Arabidopsis thaliana: one gene and its partner. The protein of the gene in region 2 interacts with the protein of the main gene of each other region in a pairwise test. Each region holds a gene or a part of one and is shown on either strand. Other genes may lie near its edges.

Evidence for each region.
Region 1: the proteins of AT1G69170 (region 2) and bZIP58 interact in a two-hybrid assay, tested with the Arabidopsis thaliana proteins (one large-scale study listed by BioGRID).

What each region holds. Positions count from the first base shown.
Region 1 is NC_003070.9:4,650,076-4,653,155, forward strand, and holds bZIP58 (basic leucine-zipper 58), read right to left. Parts: upstream 1,475-3,080; 5' UTR 1,303-1,474; coding exon 712-1,302; 3' UTR 531-711; downstream 1-530.
Region 2 is NC_003070.9:26,003,217-26,007,877, reverse strand, and holds AT1G69170 (Squamosa promoter-binding protein-like (SBP domain) transcription factor family protein), read right to left. Parts: upstream 2,811-4,661; 5' UTR 2,598-2,810; intron 2,429-2,597; 5' UTR 2,253-2,428; coding exon 1,744-2,252; intron 1,641-1,743; coding exon 1,504-1,640; intron 1,409-1,503; coding exon 837-1,408; 3' UTR 510-836; downstream 1-509. Other genes in the region: CRC (Plant-specific transcription factor YABBY family protein), read left to right, coding at 1-38, 118-144. UniProt on the Arabidopsis thaliana protein: Trans-acting factor that binds specifically to the consensus nucleotide sequence 5'-TNCGTACAA-3'.

The DNA of each region.
Region 1 (3,080 bases), about 21 Mb from region 2:
TTGGGAGTAAGATTTGGTATTATATCGTCATAAGAACCGATACATTTAATATTTTTGATAATCGAAATTTATCATTCATTTGAATTTTATGATTAAAAACTCGACGCCTGGAAATTCAGCAACATATACTTTTTTTTTGATAAAAACTTTCAGCAACATATTGGTACAAACAAATTTATTGGTAACTAAGGCAGACTTTCTTGCAATCTTATAAAAACACATAAAGAGAAGTACGGACATAAAATAAAACAACGAAAACATTACTTTAGTATTCTCTTGAAAGTTACATGTAACTGATCTAAAATTTCATGTCGACCAGACTTGATTAATACTAAAAATGATGTCACCTGGAACACCTGTTCTGCCAGTGCGAATTAATTCACATCGATCGTGAAACTAATTTTTTTTTATCTTTTTGGAACTGACTCAATGTTATTTTGAGTTTTGTAGGTTTTTGATTCATACATATTTTTAGGACACTTATCGCTTGAAAAAGGCTTTAAATTGAGAACAATATACTATTTATCGTACGTCCATGATCATCACTAATATTCTTAACTAACTCAAGTTGGCTAAAAGAAAAAAAGATATAGAAGAACAATATTTTTTCTCGATAGAGAATAACATTATTAATGATATTATATCATATAATATAGTATGATCCTTAGGAAATCTACAGTCTTGACATAAGCAGAACAATGATCAAGATCATTAACACAACTCAAAATCTCTGCCGCTTTGGTTCGAATCCGATCTAGAGTTTGATATCGAATCTTCGAGCTCTCTTAAAAAACTGTTGTCGTCTTCGTTGTGTGACTTTATCTCAGAGATCAGCTGTCTGAGATCAGAAGTTTCCTCTTTAAGCTTAGCGTTCTCCTTTAAAGCAAGCTCATGGCTTTCAGATACGCGGTTCAGCTTATCCATAAGACAGTGGTTATCAGTGCGAAGTCTTATCACTTGAGACCAAAGCTCATCGAGATGTCTCTGCTTTCTCATTCTTGACCTACGAGCAGATTCCCTGTTAGAGATCATTCTCCTTTGTTTCCTCTCATCGATGACCATACTTTGTTGGTGATCTTCGTCTGAAGTTGAGTTGTTGCTCGTCATTAGATCCTGACCATTGGATGATGAAGAGTAGTTGTTGTTGTTGATCAGACCATTGAGGTGGTAGAAGGAGGAACAAGAAGTAGGAGAAGAGGGCATGTTGAAGTACTCAGACTCCATGATTGGTGTTTGGTTATTATATTTATCTGGTGGTAGATAGTGGAAGTATCCAGTGAGTTCGGCTGGAATCGTGTTCATGATCTTTGCTTTGATTTGTTTCGTGATATGTCTTGTGTTGTTGAAAGATAGTTTGTGGGATGTTTTTAGAGCTAGAGAGGGAGGGTTCTGTGTGTTGTGTGAAGTGGTTTTGAAGTAAGAGGAAGAGAGGGCTAAGGGTTTTATAGAGGAGGGAGGCAAAGTTATGTAGAAAATGGTGTTGAATATAATTCATTATTTTAGTAAAAATATTAGATACATAAAGATTAGTTCATTCAGAAAGTTCTAATACGATGATTTGTAATACTCGATTTCGTATAAATAAATATAATTAATTAATGATGGTATAAAAAAATAATCTACTTGATTATATATACGACAAATATATTGTTTCTAAGATTATTTTATTTTTTCTTTTGTTTTTTTTTGTAGAACCACAAAGTTAATATTGTTTAGGTGGACTAACTTTATTTGGGTGGATTGGTGGATTGATGGTTTTATGAGATGTCTCCAAAATTCAGCCAACTTATACTTTATTTGTTGCATATGAGTTGAAAAAGTTCGCTCACGTTTCAATAACTTTCTAGCATTTTTTGTGGCTGCCTTCTTTTTGTCACTTGAGATGAATAATCAAATTACAAAAACTTCTTTACCAGATGGAATAGTATTAAATTTATATATATATATATATATATATATATCTCTACCAATTGCATGACATATATAAATTTAAATGGCTAAATAAAATAAAAATAAAACGCTATTTATTTATATAGAAAACTTCGTATAACACATTTTAAATCCAATTTTTAACTAGAAATAGCTATTGCCTCCACAATTAACAGTACTATTGAAATATATAATGCTAATATGCATAATAGCTATGATTGTCTTATGTCATATCACCAACCATAAATATTTTTCGCGTATTAGATAAATTACTGTATAAACCACTGTAGTAATCATATCTCTCTCTTTTTTCTTTCTTTTGTGTTTGTGAGTAACCGTTAATTAATCATAGCCAATAAATATATGCATCATACAAGACAAATATTGCCGTAATTCCTTACGTACTTAATTCACTTCACCAAGAACAAACACTTTTTCTGGAAAAAAAATTATTGGGCATGGAAAATTATATTGTTTGTGAAAATTTCAAGGAACGAAAACAAGGTGGGGTTTCCACTTGCTGCTCTAATTCAAGAAGTCTTAATTTTTATGATTGGCGACTAAGTTGAAATATAGATTAATTTCAAGCATTGCATCTACCATGTGATATCTCCAGTAGTAAAAAAAAACATAAAATCGAAAAAAAAAATATGACTGAGAAATGTCAATAATTACATTTTTTTCATTCATAATTAAGTATGATCTGTGTAGACTTGACCGATGAGTGTTAATTGAGTGATATGGCTCTAATCCACAAGACTATAACTACTCCATACCTTTTCAATGCCTATTTGTTTCCTAAATGAACTAGTAATCATTAATCAAGTCCATTTAAAAACTAATTAATTAGGTGTTTTCCCACTATTGATCTTAATTAATAAATCAAACGACATGAGATAAGTTTTAATTGTAGATAACAAGAGACGCCTAAATCCATGTCTCTCTCGCTCTATAATTGTATAGATAAAGTGGTTTTTAATAATTAACATACAACAAGTTTAAATAAAATCATCGTCCATGCCTTCCTATACTACATTGTTTTCAAATGCAGATCGAAAAACGAACTAGAAAAGTTTTTGGTGTGGAGTCATCGAGTTAGTCCGGTCAGATCATGGGCTGTTACACAATTCAAGACACTAATCATACAATAA
Region 2 (4,661 bases):
CTACTTCCATTACTTCCGGAGGCCACAACATGATCCATGTAAGCTATACAAACTAAGTCTGCATAAGGACATATTTATATACATTATATAAAGATTTAAAATGTTTTGTTCAATTAGGGCTTGGGATTCGGTGAGAAGAAGTGAACAAAACTCAGGGGAAAAGAAGCCTAAAAATAACAAACGCATGCACGTGTGCGAGTGGCTGCGTCGTTTTTCTCATCTTGTGTTGTTCTTCTGTGTAATTTTCTTATGTATGTCATGTTGCAGAAAATGATGTTGCCTTAGTTTTTATGACTTTATATTTCTGTCTGTCTTTAGATTTGAAAGTAACGTCACTTGCTATGTCCCTTTGGACGTTTATGTCTGGTCTTTATTTGTCTTAATCCTATCAAAATTTTATATGCGTATTCCTTAATTCCATCTGGGACACTTTTTCTTTTCCCCAATGATTTGCAACTTTCAACATCGTAACTTCGAACTCGAGAATCTCAGATCAGTCCTCAGATGACGTGAGTGTACAGAACAAAACAAAACAAAAGTAAAAATTCACTTTTTCAGCGAATATTCATTACATGTATATATACAAATTGTCTGTAACGCTGTGAAAAGGAAGTAGGCATAGATATCTGAAGCAATTTTCTTCAGAACATTATTGACTGGTGAATAATAACACAACAGTTACAAATTACAATAATACGTGTAACATGATCTGATCCTCTTAATTCCTCTATCTAATCACAAACTAATCAAGCCATGCAGGCTTGTCTTGTCCTTCTGCAGAACAATCTCAAGAAACTCGAACCGGTTTAAAGGAATAAGAATGTTGTAACCTTTTATTAGGAGCCAGGGAAATAAAGCTCATTATATTCCTGCTTCACATCACCAGTGTAATTCCTCTGTTGCTCGATTCTTTGAAGATGTGATGACAGTTGCAGTAGATCAACCGTGGATGTTCCTTTTCCTTTACAAGAACTAGAACCAGCAGAATTGGTCTTGCCAGGATCGATCCACAACGGTTGTTCCATCTGATGATAGTCAGTTGATGATGAGTGATTGAGATTTTGGTTGGGTTGGGTGATTGAGAACGTTGTGTTTGGAAACTTAGACAAGTGTTGTTGGGACTGAGCTGACAGAAGAGAGAGAGCACGAGTAGAGCGTGATGCCGCCGTCTCATGTAAGTCCCAAATGGAGGATACTTCCGTGGAATAAATTGCTGGTTTAGATTCATAAGTTCTGCTGCTGTTTTGCTCATTAGTAGGAAACATGGAACAAGTAGGTTCATCTTTGAAACTCACGAGTCTACTTGTACGGTGGTCGTCTTCATCTATTACTCTGTATAAGAGACTACCAGGAAATGACTCTGGCAATACCAATGATGAATTCTCCAGAAACTTGTTGCCTACTACATCTATGGAAGATCATAAAATACAGAATAGATTCAAATTTGCACGAGTTTGCTAATTCAATACATCAATGGATAGGGAAAAGGCAGAGAGTGAGTACCTTGAGAGGTGCGAAGAAGCTTATGGCGCTTACCCGGTAGGAAATAGAATGCAGGTTTCCTTCTTCGTTCATTGTGACCGGCTAATCGCCTTCTGCAACTTCTTTTGCCATCATCAAACTCTGAGAGGAAATGAAACCTGAACAGAAGAAAAAGGTAAAAGAAACAAACGATCAAGATCCATCAAGAACATTGAAATGACTACAGAGCATGAGACAACTTGAGAGGAGAAAGAATAAAACCTGCTGCACTGTTGACAAAACCTCTGTTCAAGACCATTAACTATGACCACAGAAGTTTTCGAATGAGCCTCGCAAACTCTATGCCTTTTGTGGTAATCTTTCGAAGAGCTCAGATCCTTACTACACCCATAAACTTGACACAAGGGATTCTGAGAGCACAAGTTTGAAGCTCGAGACTTTTTAGATGGCAGAGCAAAACCTCTAGAGGATGTATCATCATCATCATTTCCTAAATCCAAAAAGCTCCTAAGTTTGAAATCTATCCTATTCAATTCCTGACTAGAGAACTTTGAAGAAGAAGATATGTTCTCCTCATCTTCCTCTTCAGGAACAACTTTAGTAATAGAAACAGCACTGAATCCATTGGAGTTACCAGCCATGTCAGAAATCAACACATCATCATTATTAGAGAGTCTCTGTTCAAATCTTCTATTCTTAGCAAAAGTATCACAAGGTAAAAGAGTTTCATTTGACATGAAAACGCTTCTCCCGTAGCTCCAAGAATCCATCAGCAACACTATAATCAATTTCTGCTTTCTTCAACGACAACTAGCAATTCAATAACTGATGCAGAAACCCTAAAGGAGGAAGCTTTCTTCTAAATAGAGAAAACCCAAGACGACGATTCACTTATTCCTTCGATTAACACAAAACCCAGATAGAAATTGACGAAAAGATTCAAACCCTAACAAGAAACAAAGATAAAAATCAATACTTTATCAAGAAAGCAATCACACAACATGATCATCAGTGGAACAAATAAATTAAGACGAAATTTTCGAGTTTCTTATCTTCCATCTAATGCAATTGAGGTGAACGAAATCATAAACAGAGGATCGAAGAATAAGACTTACCGATTAGAGGAACAGAGAAGAACTGTGTATAGGAAGCAAGCAAAAGAGACAGAGAGGTGGAGAAAATATAAGAAAAGTGAAAAATGGGGAATCGAAGGAATAAGGTGAGAGGTGACGTCGAAGCAGATACTGTTTGGGGTCAACATGATTTCCACTAAACCCATCTTCTTCTCCACTTCTCTCTCTCTTTTGCTTCTTTTTTTTTTTTCTTTTTCTATTCTTCATCCTGTAAATTTTATTTGTGTTTGTTTTCCGACACTATTTTGTTCGATCAAGTAAAAGTAAAAAAACAAAAAAAAAAAGTAGAAGTAAAAAAGTTTCTATAGAAATCGAATTTAAGAATGGAGAAGTTGACGTCATGCCTCCTATTTTTTACCATCAAAATTAGTGATAAAACTAATTTTAGGTTTATTTAGTTTAGTGTTATTGCTATGTTAAAACTAACCTAATAAACTTTGTACACATTTTTTTTTTTGATGATGCTTTCGGAACAGCACCTAAACAAAATCTTGGTTGAGTCACAAATAACATACAAATAATACGGTGGCAATGTGGCATGTATTCACACTGTAGACGAACAGCCAAAATTATGTGTTCACACTATCTCGAACAAATGTTAAATGATGATATAAATATGTTGACGACAATCAAAACCAATGAAGAATTTAGAATTCACAATGAACATCGTCCAAAGCGAAAGTTTATAATTTTGGGTTATATTCTAGATTATATTCTAACAAACACGTTTTGGTTAATTATTTTGTTTGTTGGCGGCTTTGAAATGGTAAAGATTAAGAAAAAAAAGAAATACACAACATGGGGAAGCGTATTTTATATAGCAATTTGAAAACATTTGTTTAAGGGCTTAATCTTCTTAAATAAATCGGTTTCAATAAGAATATATATCCAAATTAAAGCATAAGTTAGAAGAAGAATGTATGGGGGGGTTTCCTCAAAAGAAAAAGAAACTTTGGGGTTGCAAAAAGAATAAATAAAATATTAGAGAATCAGCGAGTTGAAGAGATTGGTGGTGGAGCGTGTGTAGACAAAGCCTTCTGACGCTACCCAAACCTTTTGCTTTATTACAAAATCAACCCTTTTCTTTTTTCTTTTTGGTGGGAGCCAGAGCATATCTTGTTGGCCAACCAACCGCACTTTTCAGGTGATGGAATCTAAAGCTAAGTCCTAATTACTTAACACTTGTTTGCTATTAATACTTCTTCTGTAAAATTATAACTTTTTAAGTTTATATAGTTAGATCGGTTCTCATATATTACTATGTAGAAGTTGTAAGTATATTCGATCGTACATTATGTGTGTATCTGAATCTGATCATAGACTTAAAAGTTAAAAAATTAAAACAAACGGATATGTGAAAAAGAGTTGTTTGTTGGTTCCAATTTTGCAAAGCCAGGTCCATCAATTTACGTAGCATAGCAAAGACGTATTTCAAGCCCATTAATTACGGCCCAGCGGGGTCTCTTCCATTTTCACGAAAACTCTCAAAAGATTTCAAACATACTATTCCATGAATCATGATGTAACAGTTACTGTGCAGAGTGCAGACAATGGAGTGTGCACCAAAAAGATTGGCCATGATTTCTATCATTGTATTTGAGAACGATAGAAAGTTCAGGTTCTAACTTTACATTTTAGATCGAAGACCAGAGTTTGTTTTTTATTCAAATTAGACATAAGAAAAGGAAAAAAACTGAACCAAATATTTTGTGATCCAAACAAAATTTCCTTTAACCACATGGAATTTTCTTTAACCACATGACTAATAATACCGAAACGCAATTGAATTTAGTATAATCGGTCCAAATCGAATAATAAATAAAAATTTGTTGAAATTACATGTGTGACAACATATATGACGTTAGTTATTATCTCACCTAACAAAACTCCAAACATACTATTTTAAGTGTCTTTATTTGTAAGATTAATTTTACTTTGCATAATTACCTCAACTTTATGATAATCACATGTTTGGACCCTCCACCCATTAGATGATAGGAGAAAGCAATGTATTACTTATTCATTTCATTATTTTTTTTAACTCAT